Drosophila melanogaster: one gene and its partner. The protein of the gene in region 2 purifies or fractionates together with the protein of the main gene of each other region. This does not show direct contact. Each region holds a gene or a part of one and is shown on either strand. Other genes may lie near its edges.

Region 1 (5,280 bases), on a different chromosome or scaffold from region 2:
TAATGTACCCATTGGTTTTCTTTTTTGGTTTCTCCAAAACCCAATTCTTTCATACAAATAAAACCTTTAAAAATGTACTGTGATTCAGTCTTTAATTTGTATTTTTTAAATCTGACAAACTATGTAATCGATTCCTATTAAATTCACTTTTTTATGGCCCTTTTCTTCGAAAGGTAAAACAAAACTACAATATATTATCATGTTTTCATTTGAATGGCCCATATATTAGTTAATACATTTAAATCTGGTTTTTTCATATGTAATTTTGTTAGGGTTAAAGTGTAACGTAAAAATAATTCAATATTAGGAAAATGTTTATTCTGCTTATGTATATATATATATATTTATTTTCCGCTGTTCCCAGCAACCTGCTGCTTATATCGGATGTCCCAAAATTCATCTTGGATAGTTCCGCTATTAACTATTAAAATTAATTGTGAAACTTTTCACTCCGAGCTTTATGCGAGTCACACGCTTCGTCTTCCATTTGTGCTCATAAATCTCGTCTGTCTACACACACCAACTCGCATCCTTTCAGCCGTTGTCCTCAAGAGCCTGTCAACAAAGGGCCAGTGAAAGTTTTCGTGTGTCATGACAATATTTACATGCTGCATTAAACTTGCTCCCCCTGACAGGCGAAACTTTTGCAGCTGCTGCTCATGTTATTAAAGTTGCGCATACGCCAGGTTGTCCCCTGGCCAGCTTGATTTATGCGAGAAGAAGCCTTAACTTTTGGACCAGGCTTTTAATAATTTAAGCTCTGCAGAAAATCAGATCTGAGATAGCTCCCCACCCCTGATGCATCCCTGGCCTGTTGCCAAGCCACGTTGCGTTGACTGAGCCGAAAAATGCAAAAATTTCCTGCTGCCGCTCCTCGTTTCTGGCCATGTTGACAATGGCGGCAACAAAGCGCATTTGGCAAGAGCCTGCAGCCTTGCCAACACCCATACCCATAGCCACACATATACCCTTACCCATATCCACATTCACATTCACATTCACATCCACATCCACATGCGAAGACGTGCTCAGCAAAAGTGAAATGGCAACAATATATGTGCGAATGCGAATACGAATGTTACCAGCCAGCCAGTCCACAATGCAACCGGGTGCGAGACTCACTGAGTTGTATACTACTCTGCTTGCCATATATGTATGTATATAGAAATAAAAAGTAGGTTATGCACAGACAGCATTTTAATATGATTTCCATGGCTTATGTCTCCTCGGGATAGACTAACGCACTTCTCAGACTGACTAACTGACACCCCGGCATCAACAAAATGATCAAAGGCAATGGGAAATATTATCCCTGACACAATCGCAGACAAATTGTAAGTTCCACTCATCTGTGTGACCCACTTTGGCGTTGTGCCTTCAAAGAGATCAGCAGGGAATTTCAGCAATACTGATGACTAAACTTATAAAGCTTTATACCAGCAAAGTCTGACAAATGATTATAAAAAATTTATTCGCAGCTGAAGAATTTAAGAAAGCACAAGTTGTGTTCAACAGCTTTGAAAAGATTTAAAATTCCTTTAACTAATAAGTAACGTAACAAGCGTTTGGTTTTCCATAATTGTTTTACCATTTTTTGATACAATATTTTGCTGCCATTCGTTGACAACAAAATGATTCTTTAATATTAGGGAATTAGGAATGAAATTCCTAAAAGATATTTAAATCCTCCAATTTTCCTACACCGTCTTAGATTTGTTTCCAATAAAACTCTTTATTTTCATTCAATTCCGAATTATTATTACAAGAAGACTGCACTGAATTAAGCACTGAATTTATTTCTTGTATTCAGGCCTTTTGTGTGGAATTGTTTTCACTTTAATACCATTACATTTCCACATACCTCCAAGCTGAATAGAATAAATGTTTCTATTTTTAATGCTTCAACCTTCTTAGCACAATGGCCTGCATTATTATTCTTAGCATACTTTTGAGCGCTCACTTTCGTCTGAAGATTAGGTTTGTCGGTACAAAAGTATATGTACGTTTATTTTGGTAGATATTTACTTCCCACATGCACTTACCCCTGTTTCGGCCGTATTGTATCCTTTTGCTGTGGCGTTTACTCCGCTTTTTGGCGTTTTTTACGGCCTTTGTAATAAAATCAGCCCTCAGGGGTTAGGAGGAAATGGAGTTGTTGCTGCTGCTGTGCTTATTGCTTATTGCTCCTGTAGAGGGCGTGTTGGCATTAAGCGAGTTTTTATGCAGCCAGCGAGACGCACACACATCATATGAAAAGGAGCTGAAGGAGTTGGAGGAGCAGCGGCAGGCAATTGAGCAAAAAATATGGCAAAGTATTTGGCGGGTGCGAGGCATAAATTTCGATTTCGTCGGCCTTGCTTTTGCTTTGCTTCTGCTGCTAACTTTCTCGTCTTCGAATCGCCGCCAGCCGCGAGGCCAATATTTAAAGTAGCAGCCGATGCGAACTTTATTTATGGCTCAATAATGTGTATTTTGATTTATGCATTGTGGGCGCGTACACAAGCGCACATATATATAGTCGTACACTGTAACTGCGGCACACACATACACGCTCCCAATCGCACTCACTCACATACACTCACTGTATTGTTGCCTCAAGCCAAAAAGGACGCGATTTGCATAACAACACATTCAGAAACTTAACGCAGGCGTTTGAGATGTTTCTACTTCTACTTCTAGCACGTGCACTCTCGTCTCGCTTGACGTTTTTCTATTTTTATTTGGTTGTTGTATATTCAGCATTCAACAATTGCGATAACCGATTGAGATATATACTTTTGACTAGGTTGGGTGGCACTTGTTTCTTGATTTCCAGCCCAATTGCTTCGTTCGCCAGTTTGCGGATGCGGACGGTCAACACTGCGGCTACGCGATGTGAGGCGATGCGATGCGATGCGATGCCGCCCGTACGACAGCGACAACGACAACGACAACACGACAACGAAAACGAGAACGACAAACGGCGGCAACGGAGCACGACAACTACACAAATCCACGACCTTTTCAGTACTAAAGCGCCTGGCCATTCATTCGTGGCTTTGGCCACTTTTGCCATCGCCCTCCACGATTCGGATCCTTCGGCTTTCGCTCGGGTCGCGCATTTTCGACTTTGCCGAACAGTCGAATCCTTTGGGTTTCCCTGTGTGTGTGTGTGTGTGAGCCTTGTAAGTGGGCCAACACTTGCCGCCGATTCGATTTCGAAAGCCAGAACGGCTGGCAAGGGCCAGAGTATAAGAGTTTTGGTTGTAAAATCCAAAAGTCGTCTTGGTTGTCAATCTGTGGAAGCCAAGTGGTAGGTAAGCTTACCTCAAACGCTTCATGAACTTGAATTGTCAAGTTTTAAAAACGAAATATAAACTACCAGGGGCAAAAGATAAAAAAGATGTTTGTGAATGAAAAAATAAATCACTTCTTATTTTTATCTATTGATAATAATACTAAAAGTTATGAAAAGTATTCACCTTGTTGACTATATCTTGTATTAAAAATCATCTTATACCTTACTTGAAAGGATCCCAAATGTTTTTATTGTTTTTTGAACCAATATTTTTGAATATGCTGCCATGATGATGGAAGTATATCAATATGAAATCCCGATCATGATTTATTTGCGACTTTCCACTTCCCTTCCCCCCTGCCGTGGGTGTCCAGTCCTACCTCAACACCCTTTTGCCCTTGCGAACCTTCTAAAAACATATTCCACCACGCATTCCTGTGGAACCTTTTGCTTTCCCTCTCTTTTGCGTTTCCATCGAACTCACGATGTCTGCCTCTCTTCAAAATCGCATCTACCTAGATGAATGAGAGTTTCAGAAAGCGGTTACCAAGAGCATCTCGCACTTACTGCAGTTTCGCTGGTCAAGGCAGCCAGTCAAGGATCACAGATTACAATGAATACTTCACTAATGTTTGGCTAAAGTTCATGCAGTAAGACTATAAACCCAATTAAATATATAAAGTCCGTATAGGTGAATAAAAGACCAATAGAACCATTTCCGGGTTCTGGCATCGTTTTAAGAAACTCTAATGTCCTACTTATTAAACCCAAAATGTAAGCCCAGCTGAGTGATTAATTAATCAGAATTTCCTGATTGATTTCCTCAAGGTGTAGGCTAAAAAATGGCACCGCTACAACTTAACCTACACCACCATCAAAATCACGCATCACACCGCTTACAAAAAAAACTCTACTACAATGGGGTGTAAGCATGTAAGTTGACATGGGACCACGAGACCCGAAGCTCGCATCTCTCACGCTTTCTCTGAACTTTCTCTCGGCTTTCTCTGGCTCTCTTTTCGATTTCGAAAGCGTGGTTTCGCCAGACATGCGCCCGAAACCAGCAAAAAAAAAACCGAATGAATTGTGGAACGCGAAAACTTTTGCTTGGCATGAATGGGATTTTTTCAAAATTTCCAACGGTTTCACTCTTATACCACTCAAGGAAAGCTCTCGCTTTGCAAGGCGATCCACTCAAAGGATGAAGAATGGGACACATGGGTAGCACTGCAACAATTGCACAGCCTAATCTTATCAAATTTCATTTACACGCTTGGCCAAACTCTAATGGCAAATCCAATGCCGAAATGAAGATAGCACTAAACCACTTTCGTCAGCACACACACACACACACACACACTCGCGGACTCTTTTTCCTTACTTTCCCCATATATATATATAGTGTGCACATATAGAAAATGTAACTGGTGATGTTGTCAAAGTATTTGGCTCCTCCACGCGACATTCTTTGGGCCAAAATAGCGCTGGCTAAACATTAACTAAAACTGCAAAATTCCATCACTCACACACACATAATCAAAAGCCCAGGACGACACTCACACACACATGCAGTTTCGTGTGTGGTGTAGATTGTCGGTCTTCTGTTCCTACAAAATCTCAACGCTCAACCGCCAAGCATGGCATTTCATCAGGCGGCAGCAACGAGAGCAGCTGCACCAGAATCAGTCTAAAACTAATCAGGAATGGCCGATTTGATACCCATTAGTTGTTGTATTTTAGATTTTGCAATAGATGTATTGTTTCAGTTTCCTTATATCTTATAATCATTTTATCATTTATTAATTTTAATTTGTTGATTTCTTTTAAGTATAAGTAATAATGCAGTATTATTTCCAACTACCCCAATCCGAAATGAGTAGCAAGTTTAAAAAACCCTTAACCCCTTTTCCCTGGCTGGCGAAAAACCCCAGCAATGCGAGCAAAGGAAGTGCACTAAGTGCAGTGACCAAATAGCTGCCAGAGAGTCCCGAACCGGCGGCTGA
Region 2 (5,292 bases):
ATTCTCCCGAAGAGTTTCGCCCGGAGAGATTTCTGCCCGAAAACTCGCAGAATCGTCACACCTACGCATATATTCCATTCAGTGCTGGTCAGAGGAATTGCATAGGTATGTAATATTGCTTACTCTCATGGAATGATTGGATAAACATATCATTTTCTTTGTAGGTCAAAAATTTGCCATGCAGGAGATGAAAACCCTAATGGTGGCCCTACTGAAGCAGTTCCAAATTCTACCAGAAATCGATCCGAAAACTATTGTTTTTCAAACTGGACTAACACTGCGGACCAAGAACCAGATTCACGTGAAGCTCGTGAGAAGAAAATGAGGCAGCTTTAACGGAATGGAATTGTTCACGGAACTCTGTTAGTCATAAAGTGCACAGTGAACAATAGTTTCATCCAAAGACTCCTTTCTTCTTTCTCTTGGTGCAAAAATGTCCTGTGACTAGCTTATGGCCGATAATCGTTGGCATCTCGACAGCTGCCGCCCTATAAATCATTCATGCCCTGGCGGGTAGAAGCACTTCTCTTCTTCTTTTCCAGCAGCTATTACAATTCCAACTCCCATTTCCCACACAGTGGGAGCTCCCTGTCATTTCCTACCCCTCCTATTATTTTTGAGGCAGCCCAGGAAAAGTCAAGTAATCTCTGTCCTTTAGCTCACATATATGGGAATGCAAATGCATAATGCGCTGGCGACTTTTTGTCATTTGGTTTTCCTCCTCCTGCCGAGGCTACATCCCTTTCCCAACGACTCCTTTTTGCTTTAACTGCGATTTTGACAGTTCGTTACTCAGTTATACCATTTGCATGCATAATGCAGACTCAGCTTTGTTCTAAGCACATAAAATGTGGCAAAAAGACATGGGTGACCATGGGCTCGCAAAATGCACTGTGTGTGGTGCACTGAAATAAGTTCCATCTATCTTTGGCTTCCTATTTATTTTATGAAATATTTATATCATGTTTCGAAGGGATATTTTTAGTTAGCTTCTCTTTTATATGTGGCTTACTACTACTCTACTATTGAAAATAATTATCGTAAACGCATATTTTTTAGTGTGCGCCCAACTCGTTCCAACATCATCATCCATCCTGGGGACCCAGGATTTATGGGACAGCACATGGAAATGGGTGAAAGGCAGCTCTGGTTTTAGCTGCTACTCGGCTACTGCATATTTCATTAGTGCTCTGTGCGCTAGTGCTTCGTCGCCATAAGTCAACATTAAATGGATTCCATTTGTGAGTCATGTAAATTAAATTTCCCTCGCTTTCACATGTGTCAAGCGAACGTTTGGATCTCAGAAAATCTAAGAATCGGCACCCCTCTCACCTGACTGACTGCCAAACTGCGCACCAAAAGGCGAAATAAGAAGTCGCAATATCCGCCACAAAAGAAAAAAAAAGAAGATAAGTGCGACGCACTTTTGCCTGACTGAAGGACGAAACCCCAAAAGCTCAGCAGCTCAACAGCTGGTCCTGTCGATTTGCCAGGGGAAATTAGAAGGCAACCGACTGGAGGGATGGCGATGGCGATGGCGATGCCGATGGAGGCAGAGTGAATTAATTACTTTATGCGCATCTGCGTGTCGCTGTCGGGCACTTTACACTTCCCCTGTATCCTTTTTCCCACTTCCCTTGTCCCTTGTACCCCACATCCACCCATTCCCCCGTCCAAAGTCTTCCTTCCCTTTCGCAAAACTCACACATGACGCTATTAATTTCTATTACCAGCCTCGGACGGCCTGCCTGCCATACTTCATTACGGACTTTCGTGCAATTGCCGCTTGCCCGAGCTACCTTTCAGCTCCCCTTCCCCTAGTGCACTGAGAGAAATTATTGGTGACTGCCAGCGGAATTAAGTTTCGTTGAGATTTAGGAGCAAAGGTCTAACAATCAAAAGTATGCATTAAGTTTGCGCCTTATTAATGATTTCACATGTTCAAAATGTTCAGTAATCATAATTTATAATGTATAAATATACATATGTAATTGAAAATATATTTGATCAAAAATAACTAAATTTATCATTAAATTCTTACCTAATAAATTATCATAATACGCTCGAAATAAAGGTTAAATAATTATTTTACAAGGTGTGAAATACATAATGATTTTAAATATTTATGTGAATGCTATACGAAAATTTATTTCGATTTGTCATACATGACAATCATGTTTTTCTTTATTCTTACTGAAAAATAATGTTTGTGATTGCGTTTGAAAACTAACTTTAAAGACTTCATGATGTCTTGCTTTGAATGATTCATAATAAAAGCCATTATCCTTGCACCTTATAAGCATGTCTTTTATAATTTAATATGAAAAGCAACCTAAAAATTTGTTGCCAAATATTTTCCGCAGTGCCCCGTTTTCGCGATGCCCTTGCTTGTTTGTTGACTCTGATTGGGATTAAGGTTGCCCATGGGCTCTCGGCTCGCTTTGATTGCCTTTGTGCCGCAGATGCCGTGAAATATTTCATTTGCTGCCAGTTATTTGCTCTTGCGCTCTGTAGCTTCCCCTCCCGGTTACGAATTCATTTCTACTCCGGATTTATATCCTTTTTGTTCGAGCGTGTGTGATAATCGCTGGGAGCTGGAAGCTGTGAACTGTCCGATTTCCATGGATGCGTGGAAGGCCATTTAATAAAGTGACCGAGTTCGAGGCGGCCCGTCATAATTTATTTACGCTTTTCGTCCGTCCAGTGAGTGAAGGTCAAACGGAGGAGCCCACGTGTGTGCGGGGCAATTAGGACTCACCTGGCTCGGATGTGGTGCTGGTCTCGACGGGCTCCGTGTTGGCATTGCTTTTGTCCAGGACCAGCAGCAAAACGGTCAAGGATATTAGGGCCCAAAGCGGCTTATGGCGCATTCGCTGCCTGCTCCACATGTCCAAGGATCAGATTGCGATTGCCAGAGTTTCGGCGTTGTTTTGTTTTCGTTTGTTAAGCAACCCGATGAGTCCTTTCAAATAGCAACGAATTTAACACCACTGCACTTCACGAGTTGACTTCTTAATGGGCCAAAAATAGAAATCCACTTGGCCAACTCACACACACACACTGGCGTACCGCCAGCAGTAACCCACACTCGCGCCAAACTGTATGCAACGTGTGCGCGTGTATGTGTATGTGTGTGTGCTCTTTGGCTTTAAAGTTTCACTTTTACTTAGAGTCCTTTGCGGGGTTTTATCCTTTTCGAAGCTGGGCACCTATCCTCTCGAGCGACGACAATCGAATGCCACGAGTGCGGCGAGCGTCTCGCTTTTATACCTCTCGTTGGATTCTGCGCAGCTTCGGCTCTGCTTCGTTCGGCTGCAATCGGCTGCATTCGGCACTCGACGAAGGATCGCACTCGACGAAGCTCGCCAAAGGATGTGTCACGTGCATTTTGCCGGCAAATCGTGTGTTTTTGTTTTGGTTTGGCCCATGTTTTGCTTAGTCGCTGTTGCCATTGCCGTTGCTGTTGCTGTTTTTCGTCATCTCCGATTTTCCTCTCTCGCTGCTTTCGCTTTTCGCTGTGCCCGTGTGTCTGCGTGCGTGCCCTTGTAACTCTCACGTAGCTCTCCTTTTTCCCACTCCCCCCCGAACCAACCAAGGAACACCGCCCACCCACGTGGCCAATTCCCAGCTACAAATGAAGTTTTCCGCTTGCTTGCCACGTTGATTCGGTTACTTTCCAGTTTAAAACTAATTTAATTATACTTCCTTAGTTCAGGCAGATACTTTTTACTGGTGCAGCAGTGAATCAATCGCATAAAATCAATTACTATTTCCTAATTCACTAGGGGAAATCGTTGCTGAAAATGTTATTGGCTTAAAACTGCGATTTATATAGCCCGAAAACATGAGCACATAAGGTACAATAACTAGACGACTATAATTATTTAATTGAAATATTGTATGTAGGAGATAAATATGAGAATTACATTTTTGGATACATTGGCAATAACTGCTAAAGTTTAAATTTTATGATTTTTACTTGGCGGTAAGCTTAGCAACTAAATGCAATTTTTTTGTAGCTAATTATATGTTTATAAATTCAAAAGTGTGCTTCCGTGTTTACTACAAATTCAAAGTGGGTACATTCTATTGTGGCTAAGGAGTGCAGTGGAGCCAAGTGCTCGGCAAGGGACTCACCTTTGCTGCTCCTCAGCTGCCGCTGCCCTGAGAAGTATGCTATCAATTGTGCTGACGTCGCCTGTCTGCTGGCCATTCCTTTTGGTCCTGGCCAATAATCAAGCAGCAGTTGCGGTGATTTTGAGGCCTCTGCTCTGCGACCGAAGCCAAATGGCATTTGGCATTTGGCAACCAGGTTGCGGATGCCACTTGGCCACTAATTACGCAAATGAATGCTCCGACAGGACGCCCCTTGTTGTCCTCGCAAGATAAATGTCACTCATTGGAGGTTCAGGTTAGTCCTGGTCCTAAAGCGTAACCGTAACAATACCGTCTGGGTCGCTCTTGTCTGTCGCATTGAAATTTTGCTGAAATGCGAAATACCAAATGCGAATGCGAATGCGAAACGCGCTCAACTCCAGTCGAGTGGAAAATGAATGTTTGTGTGCTGCATTCTCCCCCTCAGCTGGCAATCCAATTGTGCAGCGGCATTATCTTTTGTGTATAGTTTCTGGCATGCCGTCCTAGTGGCCCGAAACTTTGGAATGCAATCAGGCTGAAAATTTATACGTTTAGCATGTTTATCCTGCCTCCTGGCAACGAGCGGCTTTACAGCAAAATTCAATTTGCTGCCCTGCAACCGCAGGCTGAAATTACATCTCTGGTATTCCAACTCAATTCGATGCCGACGGGCCGAAGGCTAATAACCAATGATTTCCTGGGTGCCAATGAAGTGCGTGCACCTGACATGGTCGCAGCTTTTCTAGATTAAAATGCCTGCATTTAGCAGATTAAATTATTTAATCAAGACAATTACTTACTGGCTGTGCGATGGGCAGATGCAACAAATACATGGCTTACCGAATCCTCATTTCGGTAGAATGAATAATACAATATGCATAGTAAGTCACGCAAAAGGAATATTTACTTTGGCCAGCTTGGTTGGCAGCTGATTTAATAACTACACATCCAATTGTTTTAAATGAAATAATCTCCTCTTCGTTTTAATGAAATTATTGCTTTAAATAAATTCCTTGTTGTTTTGAACATATGTCAAAATAATATATTCTTTAAGTTGTAATTCAGGTTTTAGATATTCAAATATACAATAAATATTCTGAGATTTCTTAACATCGATCTCTTCGATAATATGTTATGCTCCTTATTTTGCTCAGT

What was found.
Region 1: the proteins of hig (region 2) and side-VI purify together in Drosophila melanogaster (affinity purification with western blotting; one large-scale study listed by BioGRID). This does not show direct contact.

What each region holds. Positions count from the first base shown.
Region 1 is NT_033777.3:10,970,112-10,975,391, reverse strand, and holds the start of side-VI (sidestep VI), read right to left. Parts: upstream 3,012-5,280; 5' UTR 2,043-3,011; intron 1-2,042.
Region 2 is NT_033778.4:9,244,007-9,249,298, forward strand, and holds the start of hig (hikaru genki), read right to left. Parts: upstream 3,244-5,292; 5' UTR 2,889-3,243; coding exon 2,759-2,888; intron 405-2,758; exon of another isoform or gene 326-404; coding exon of another isoform or gene 165-325; intron 106-164; coding exon of another isoform or gene 1-105. Other genes in the region: Cyp4p3 (cytochrome P450 4p3), read left to right, coding at 1-105, 165-325.